2 linked regions of the Macaca fascicularis genome follow. The protein of the gene in region 1 purifies or fractionates together with the protein of each later gene. This does not show direct contact. Links are inferred from orthologs where the notes say so. Each region holds a gene or a part of one and is shown in the gene's direction. Other genes may lie near its edges. The genes, in order: DCAF6 and CUL4B.

Region 1 (4,306 bases):
GCTGAAGAAAGTGTGACCTTTACTCCAAACCCTACAGTGCGACAAGCCACCCACCCAGCTCTGCCTAGCGTGGGTTAATATGCCACAATTCGAAAAGAGAAAGAGAATGAGTGTTTCATGGTGGCTGCAGACACTTTCGTGGCCGCAGAAGCTGAGAAGGCTCAAATTTGGAGGTCAGGTTTGGGTTGGAGTCGTGCGTAAGGGAGCGGATGTCACATAGGTGGGGAAGGGCGCTGACTTGAGATACGTTGGCTTAGGAAGAGATGTTGCAGGAGAGAGGGTGAAATGCAGAGGCTAGGAGAGTAAACGGCTTCACCTGAGGGGAAGGAAGGAGTTGGGGCTGTGGGATGCCTCTAGTGGCAGTTGTCAGAGGGCCTCTAAAAGGTCCATTTTAGAGGAAGGGGGAAGGAAGGTCTAGATAACGAGCCATTCAGGGTCCATTACCTGCTGGATGGTTGTACAACGGCCTCAATTTCTCGGGCAGCATCAGCTCCACTTTATCGAGGAGCCGGTGGTAGCTGGCCCGCAGGCCTCGGGCACCGGCGGCCGACATCGCCGCCGAGGGATCGTGAGCAGCCGGGTGGGAGCGTGGCTCTGTTCTCGTCCCTGGCTGACAACGAAGGGGAGCTAGTCACTCTTCCTTGCCACGACGCCTGGCGTCCGTCTCTCGCCTGGAGAGCCCTTCCCGCGGTTCTCGCTGCCCGGCTGTGAACCAAAAAGCTGCCGCCCGCACCCCGCGAAGGTTGAGGGGGCGGAGGCTGCCAACGGCCCGCCCCTGGTCCGCCTCCGCCCCGGCAGGAGAGAGGGAGGAGGAGCCTCGGCAACAGGTGCCAAAATAATCACCTCACCGAGTCCGCCCAGCGCCCTCCTGGCAGCGCGCTTGCGCAGACTGAGCTGCCCGCCATGATTGGCCCGCCCCGAGGCGCGGGCAGGGTGCAGCGGAACCTCCTCTTTCTCCCCGCTGCCCTCGAGGCCATGTTGGAGAAGGGAAAGTGAAGCTGCGCCGGCTCTACTGCCCCTTAACTTTGACTAAGCAGGCCCGTAGTTAAAATGGGCTTTTCGGGCCTTCAGTGCCTAAAGATGATGCTGCACTATTCTTTTGCTTCTTTTGACTGGAGACTCGTGAGCGAGAGACTACAGAATTGAGTCGCTTCTCTCTCTACTCCTCTTTTATCCCTAGCGACTTAAGAATCTGGTTAGAGTGGCCCGAATGCATTTTTCCACGGTGAGGGCAGCCGCGGCACACACCAGCCTCAGTCCCCGAGGTGGTCGTCATCTCGCGAGAAAGGGTTGGCGGGGAGGGTATCCAGGACGAGGAGAGGGAGGAGTCGCCATCGCCTCCGCCTCCGCCTCCTCCTGTTGGAGGGGGGCCGAGGGAGGAGACTGTTGCTGATCTTTGGATGTTCTGGTTAGTCTAAGAAGGAGAGTATGAGGCGAGCTCCGGCCCGGGTGCGGCCGGGCTTCGGGGGCCCAGGCGCCGCTGCTGCCACCGCCATCTAACGCTGCGCCCTGGAGGCCCGGCGCGCGGATGGTGCCGGTGCGGCTCGGGTGTTGATCCGGTGTCCCCTCCCCCTCTTCCCCTCCCCCACGCGGTGGTCTCCCCTCCCACCCGGCTCAGGCAGAGCCATGTCTCGGGGTGGCTCCTGCCCACACCTGTTGTGGGACGTGAGGAAAAGGTCCCTCGGGCTGGAGGACCCGTCCCGGCTGCGGAGCCGCTACCTGGGTGAGCGGGGGCCCCGGGGCGGAGGCGCTGAGGTCGCCGCCCAGAGTGGGGGAGGGGGCGCACTGCCGGGGCTGTTGGAGGTGGGACAGCGTCTCGGCGAGGGTGCCCCGAGACTCTGGGGTGTTGGGTGGGGCCTCGGTCGCCGAATCCCGTGCCGGTGCCTCCCCCAGTCAAGCCCCCTATGCTTGCTGCCAGCCGCCGCCCTTGCTGGGTTTTCCTCGGAGGGCCGGGCCGAGGGCAGAAGGTACTGGCTTGTAAAGGTGTTGGGGTCGCTAATAGGTTGGGACTCGGGGGACTTGCGGAACCTCCAGGAGCTGCCGCGTTTAGAGCAAAAGTTAGCTCTTTTGCTCTTTTCCAGCGCGCTCTCCCCGCTGAGCCGGAGAACCTAAGTTGTTGCCCACCCTCGTCTTCGATCTCAAGAGGGTTTAGGTGTCGGCTGCGACGCGTTGACCACCCTCAGGGACTTCACGCTCCAGACAGAATCCGTGTAAACTGTTCTTGCGGCGCTGAGCCAAAACCTAAAAGTGATAGCTGAGCTCTCCCCACCCCCGCGCGCTCTCCCAGTTCCACTCTGTTCTTCAGTTCGTTTTGACCGCTTAAAGGTGGTGTAGGGTTTCACGTTCCTTTTCCCACCCCTGGAAAACACACTTGGCATTTACAGTTTCTTAGTTAAGCTTTCTAAAAACAACCTTCAATACTTGAGGGAACAGTATTCCACTTTTTTCGTTTTGCATAACATTTTTTTTTTTTTTTTGAGGATTCTGGGTCACGCCCGAGTCAACTAAAAAGTTTGGTTTCGTAAAAATGGACGTACTTAGTAAAGGTCTTTTTTGTTTCTCCCTGTATACTCTTCATTACTCTTTCTATTTGGAGATATGGCAAACAACATCAAACAAAATTTTTCTTTACAGTTTTGCCATTTGCTAGGTAAAAAGTGTTTGTTGCTGTCATTTGTTTTTGATTTCAAGTAAAGAGAAGAAAATGAAATCTCATTACAGCCAACAGTTCTGGTTTGTAAATTATTTAAGAAAAGTTAGCATGCAATTTAATTCTTGCTTTTTAGTGTCTCAAGTAAAATACGAATACATTTTGTTTGTAGAAGCTCAATAAAAATGAAGCAAAAATCCCTTTGATTCCTCCCATTCAATTTCACTTCGCCACCCTTAGAAATAATATTTTCTGTTTTCTGAATATTCTTCCAGACCTTTTTGTTTGCATTCTTACAAGTACGTATGTATATGTACAAATGCTAGGGTGTGTGTGTGGTGTGTGTGTATATGTGTGTGTGTGAGAGAGAGACACCTGAATACATGGTCATATCGTAAACATTGTTTTAACTTCTCCACGTTTTGGAGATCTTTCCATGGCAGTAAAAATAGATTATGTCTTTTAAATTATTACATAGTATGTAACATTATGAAGTACCGTAGTGTACTCAACCATTCTTCAAGTGGACGTTCGCCCTTACAGCATTGTAATGAACATCATTGTACAAGCTTTTGTGCATTTGTTGTAGGATAAGTACCTAGAGTGGTGATTAATCATTTTAAAATTGAACATAGCTAGAGTCTGCTTTTTTAAACTATTTGCCAAAAAAAGTGTGCAATATTTCTTTTAGAATTTATTTGTGGAGAGAGAACTTAATTTTAGCTTAATAAAACAAATGTTAACGTTGTTTTGCATGAATACATTGATAATTTGGTCCTTTATGTCAGTTGGACAGTTTAAGTACTTGTATACAGTTCTATATTTTAGTGTTTTCCTTTGGTTCAGTTACTTTAGCTATATCTACAAATGAGTTAATTAAAATATAACAAAACCATATACTTTCTTTTTCCTCTCCTACTCCGACTCCCTAATGGAAATGGAATTTGTATATTGGGTCTAGGGGAATTGAAGGGTTCACTGACTATAGTAGAAATCCTGAATTATAGTTTTTCAAATGTGTATATATATATACACACACGTACATACAGGGAGTTCTTTATCTTAAATAGTATTTTAGATATGATATATACTCTTTTTTTTTTTTTTTTGAGGCGGAGTCTTCACTCTGTCGCCCAGGCTGGAGTGCAGTGGCACCATCTCAGCTCACTGCAAGCTCCGCCTCCCGGGTTCGCGCCATTCTCCTGCCTCAGCCTCCCGAGTAGCTGGGACTACAGGCGCCCGCCACCGCGCCCGGCTAATTTTTTGTATTTTAGTAGAGACGGCGTTTCACCGTGTTAGCCAGGATGGTCTCGATCTCCTGACCTCGTGATCCGCCCGCCTCGGCCTCCCAAAGTGCAGGGATTACAGGCGTGAGCCACCGCGCCCGGCCGGATATATACTCTTAAAATAGGACATTTTTGGAATGACTTCCTTTAAAGTGGTTTTCTAAGTACTTGAAAATACTTTTTGAAAGTATCGAGACTTGAAAATGTTTTCAAAGAACTAACTGACTGGCCTTTACCCTTAGTAGACCTTTGCGCTGTTATTCAACTCTTCTACACTACAGTGCTGATCTTGGCTTTGCATTCAGGAAACAGCAAAATCCACGTTGGTAATGTTTGAATTAGTGATTTTTTAAAAAAAATGACTTTCCCT
Region 2 (3,811 bases), on another chromosome or scaffold:
GCTAAACACTTTTATTTCTTCAACAGGGTAAAAAAGAACTCCAGGTCTCTCTTTTTCAAACACTGGTGCTGCTAATGTTTAATGAGGGAGAGGAGTTCAGTTTAGAAGAGATCAAGCAGGCAACCGGAATAGGTTTGTGTTGAATTGGTTGATTAGCAAACATTAAGTGTTCACTATGTGCATACCACTGTGTTAAGAGGTCTGAGGGACATTTATAGGAATAATCCCTTGCCTCAGAACTCTTTTGAGGGTTTTTTTTTTTCTTTAACGAGGGTCTCAGTCTGTCACCCAGGCTGGGGTCCAGTGGTACAATCATGGCTCAGGATCAAGTGATTCCCCTGCCTCAGTCTCCCAAGCAGATGGGACTACAAGTGCATGCCACCATGCCTGGCTAATTTTTAAAATTTTTTTTGCAGAGACAGGGTCTCACTATGTTGCTTAGCCTGGTCTCAAACTCCTGAGCTCAAGGGATCTTCCTGCCTCAGCCTCCCTAAGTACTGCGATTACGTGCATGAGCCCCTGCACCCAGCCAGAACTCTTTTTTTTTCCCCCTGTCAAGATGGAATCTCGCTGTGTCACCTAGGCTGGAGTGCAGCGGCGTGATCTCAGCTCACTGCAACCACTACCTCCTGTGTTCAAGTGATTCTCCTGCCTCAGCCTCCTGAGTAGCTGGGATTACAGGTGCCCGCCACCACACCTGGCTAATGTTTGTATTTTTAGTAGAGACAGGGTTTTACCATGTTGGCCAGGCTGGTCTCGAACTCCTGACCTCGTGATCCGCCTGCCTCGGCCTACCAAAGTGCTGGGATTACAGGTGTGAGCCACTGCACCTGGCCAAAACTCTTAATATAACCATAGGGAAAGGGGGAAATGACACTTGAAATAATGTCAGAACCAATAAGTACTGGCTTGTGGTACTGACTAAGTGTGGTAGGAGTTCAACAAAGCAAGGGATCACTGTGGACTAGCACAATTGGGAAAGCTGTCATGAAGCAAGTGGCATTTGAGCTAGGCCTTCAAGTTTTGGTCAGGGAGAAGGCATATACAGCAAGGGGAAATATTTTGAGATGAGATTGGAGGTAGGAATGGGCACAGTATAGGCCCATGAAGAGCTTAATTGTAGCACGGAATCATGAAGAATCATGAAGAGCTTAATTGTAACAGAATAGTGAGTTAAAAAATTAGGTAGGATGAGTAGTGCCTGATTGTGGAGAACCTGATAAATCTAGCAAATGCAAACCTACATTGTAGTGTCTCAACTATGTGGCGTGGTGGAAGTAATTATTTGGACCACTTACTGAAATCAATGTACAGGGCAACTGGAAGGATCAAGGGATTCCAGTTTAGATGCTGTTGGGATGATTCGGGCATAAAGTGGAAGGGCCTTAGACTAGAATGAGGCCACGAAAATGGAGAAAATTCATCTCTGCAGAAGCAACAGCTAGCTATTATGTTGAGGATGAGGGAGAAGGAAAAGTTAAAAGATGATTTCAGGGTTTCCCAATTGCGAAGGTTAGTAGTATCACCACTGACAGTTGGAAAGAGGACACAGTTATATAGAGATGATGAATCAAATTTTGGACGTGACTACAGTTGATAGTAAAACAGCCAGGCGGAATTGCCATTTAAACGTGCAACTGGAGAGAAGTGAAATGTCATTTTGGAAGATTTGGTAGTTGCGCACATCATACGATAATTGACACCTTTAAAAGATGACTAGGGGCCGGGCGTGGTGGCTCACACCTGTAATCCCAGCACTTTGGGAGGCCAAGGCGGGTGGATCACTTGAGCTCAGGAGTTTGAGACCAGCCTGGGCAACATGGTGAAACCCCGTCTCTATTTTTTTTTAAAAAAAGAAGAGAACTAGGAAAAAAGCCATTGGCTAGGACAAAGAAGAGTTGTTGGTGACCTTTGGGAAAAAATGAAACAGTTTTACTAGGGGGATGGAGTGGAAACTAGATTGAGGTAGAATGTGGTAGTTGTTCATGCTGGTAACAAATAACTAAACCTCTCTTTCTTCTTCAGAGGATGGAGAGTTAAGGAGAACACTGCAGTCATTAGCCTGTGGCAAAGCTAGAGTTCTGGCAAAAAATCCAAAGGGCAAAGATATTGAAGATGGTGACAAGTTCATTTGTAATGATGATTTCAAACACAAACTTTTCAGGATAAAGATCAATCAAATCCAGATGAAAGAAACGGTATTTCTTTCACTTTCTCCTAGTCCTAACACACTGGAATTATACATGTTAATAATTAAAATATATAAAGATTTTATACCTGTAATACTGCCAATACCATTAACATTTTCTCTGCTATGTCCAGCTAAATATATTTCCGTATTTGATTTTGGGTTTTTGGGAGAGTGCTTGTACAGGATTGGGTTGATACTCAACATGGTTTTATATCCTACTTTGTTTATTTAATATTCAATCTTTAGAATTTTTCCATGCCATTAAATAGCTTCAAAAAATGGCAAATGGCAGTGTAATATTTTTACATGGCTCTTACAGTTTATTCAACCACTGTTCATTTTGGGGCAATTAAATTCATGACTTTTTAGTATTATAAATAAAATTGCAAGAAACCTCTTTGAACCTAAATTTTAATCTCTTTGATATATGATAAATGTGTGGAAGTAGATTTTTTTGGGTTAAAGGGTATGAACATTTTAGGAGTCTTAGTACATAATGTCATATTGTGTTCCAGAAAGACTGAACCAGTTTATACTCTGTCCAGCAGCATATGAGAGCCTGTCTTACTATGTCCACCAGCACTAAAGATTATATTTTCTTTTTCCAACTTGCTTGGTGAAAAATCTGAATGATTTATTCACTATTTGTTTGATTAACAGTGAAGGTGGGCCAGGCACGGTGGTTCACGCCTGTAATGCCAGCACCTTGGGAGGCCGAGGCGGGTGGATCACCTGAGGTCAGGAGTTCAAGACCAGCTTGGCCGACGTGGTGAAACCCTGTCTCTACTAAAAATATAAAAATTAGCTGGGCGTGGTAGTGCGTGCTTGTAGTCCCAGCTACTTGGGAGACTGAGGCATGAGAATCACCTGAACCCAGGATGTGGAGGTTGCAGTGAGCTGAGATTGCGCCACTGCACTGCAGCCTGGGTGACAGAGTGAGACTCTGTCTAAAAAAAAGAAAAAAACAAAAACAGTGAAGGTGAATATTTTGTTTGTTTTTGCCATTTGAATTTGTAAGAGACTTCCAACTGCAGCATCCTGAAACTGATGGTTTCAGTTCCAATAAGGTTTAATGCAATATTTGAAAAAAAAAATTTTTTTTTTTTTTTTTTGATGTGGAGTCTCACTCTGTCACCCAGGCTGGAGTCAGTGGCGCGATCTTGACTCACTGCAACCTCTGCCTTCTGGGTTCAAGTGGTTTTCCTGCCTCAGCCTCCTGAGTAGCTGGGACTACAGGCGTGCACCACCACGCCCAGCTAATTTTTGTATTTTAAGTAAAGATGAGTTTTCACCAGATTGGCCAGGCTAGTCTCGAACTGCTGACCTCACGATCCACCCACGTCGGCCTCCCAAAGTGCTGGGATTACATGTGTGAGCCACTGCGCTCAGCGGAGAAAAGTTTTAATGTAGGACAGCAACCAGTATCTTCAAACAAGTTCCTGTCATTTTCACATACACATCAAAGGATATTTTCTTAAAGGATTACCATGTCCTTACTTTTAAAATGTTTATGCTGTACCAGGAAGAAACTGCTGCAAAAAGCCCAGACTTTTTTTGGTTTAGTTACGAAAGATGAACATTTTTGCTTTAGCATCAAGATTGGTAAACCGCCTCCTAAAT

Evidence for each region.
Region 2: the proteins of DCAF6 (region 1) and CUL4B purify together in Homo sapiens (affinity purification with mass spectrometry; 6 studies listed by BioGRID and IntAct, with this or other methods). This does not show direct contact. The link is inferred for Macaca fascicularis from reciprocal best matches to the Homo sapiens genes DCAF6 and CUL4B.

What each region holds. Positions count from the first base shown.
Region 1 is NC_088375.1:25,600,790-25,605,095, forward strand, and holds the start of DCAF6 (DDB1- and CUL4-associated factor 6), read left to right. Parts: upstream 1-1,398; 5' UTR 1,399-1,626; coding exon 1,627-1,723; intron 1,724-4,306. Other genes in the region: MPC2 (mitochondrial pyruvate carrier 2), read right to left, coding at 445-553. UniProt on the Homo sapiens protein: Ligand-dependent coactivator of nuclear receptors. Enhance transcriptional activity of the nuclear receptors NR3C1 and AR. May function as a substrate receptor for CUL4-DDB1 E3 ubiquitin-protein ligase complex.
Region 2 is NC_088395.1:126,807,310-126,811,120, reverse strand, and holds part of CUL4B (cullin-4B), read left to right. Parts: intron 1-26; coding exon 27-132; intron 133-2,025; coding exon 2,026-2,198; intron 2,199-3,811.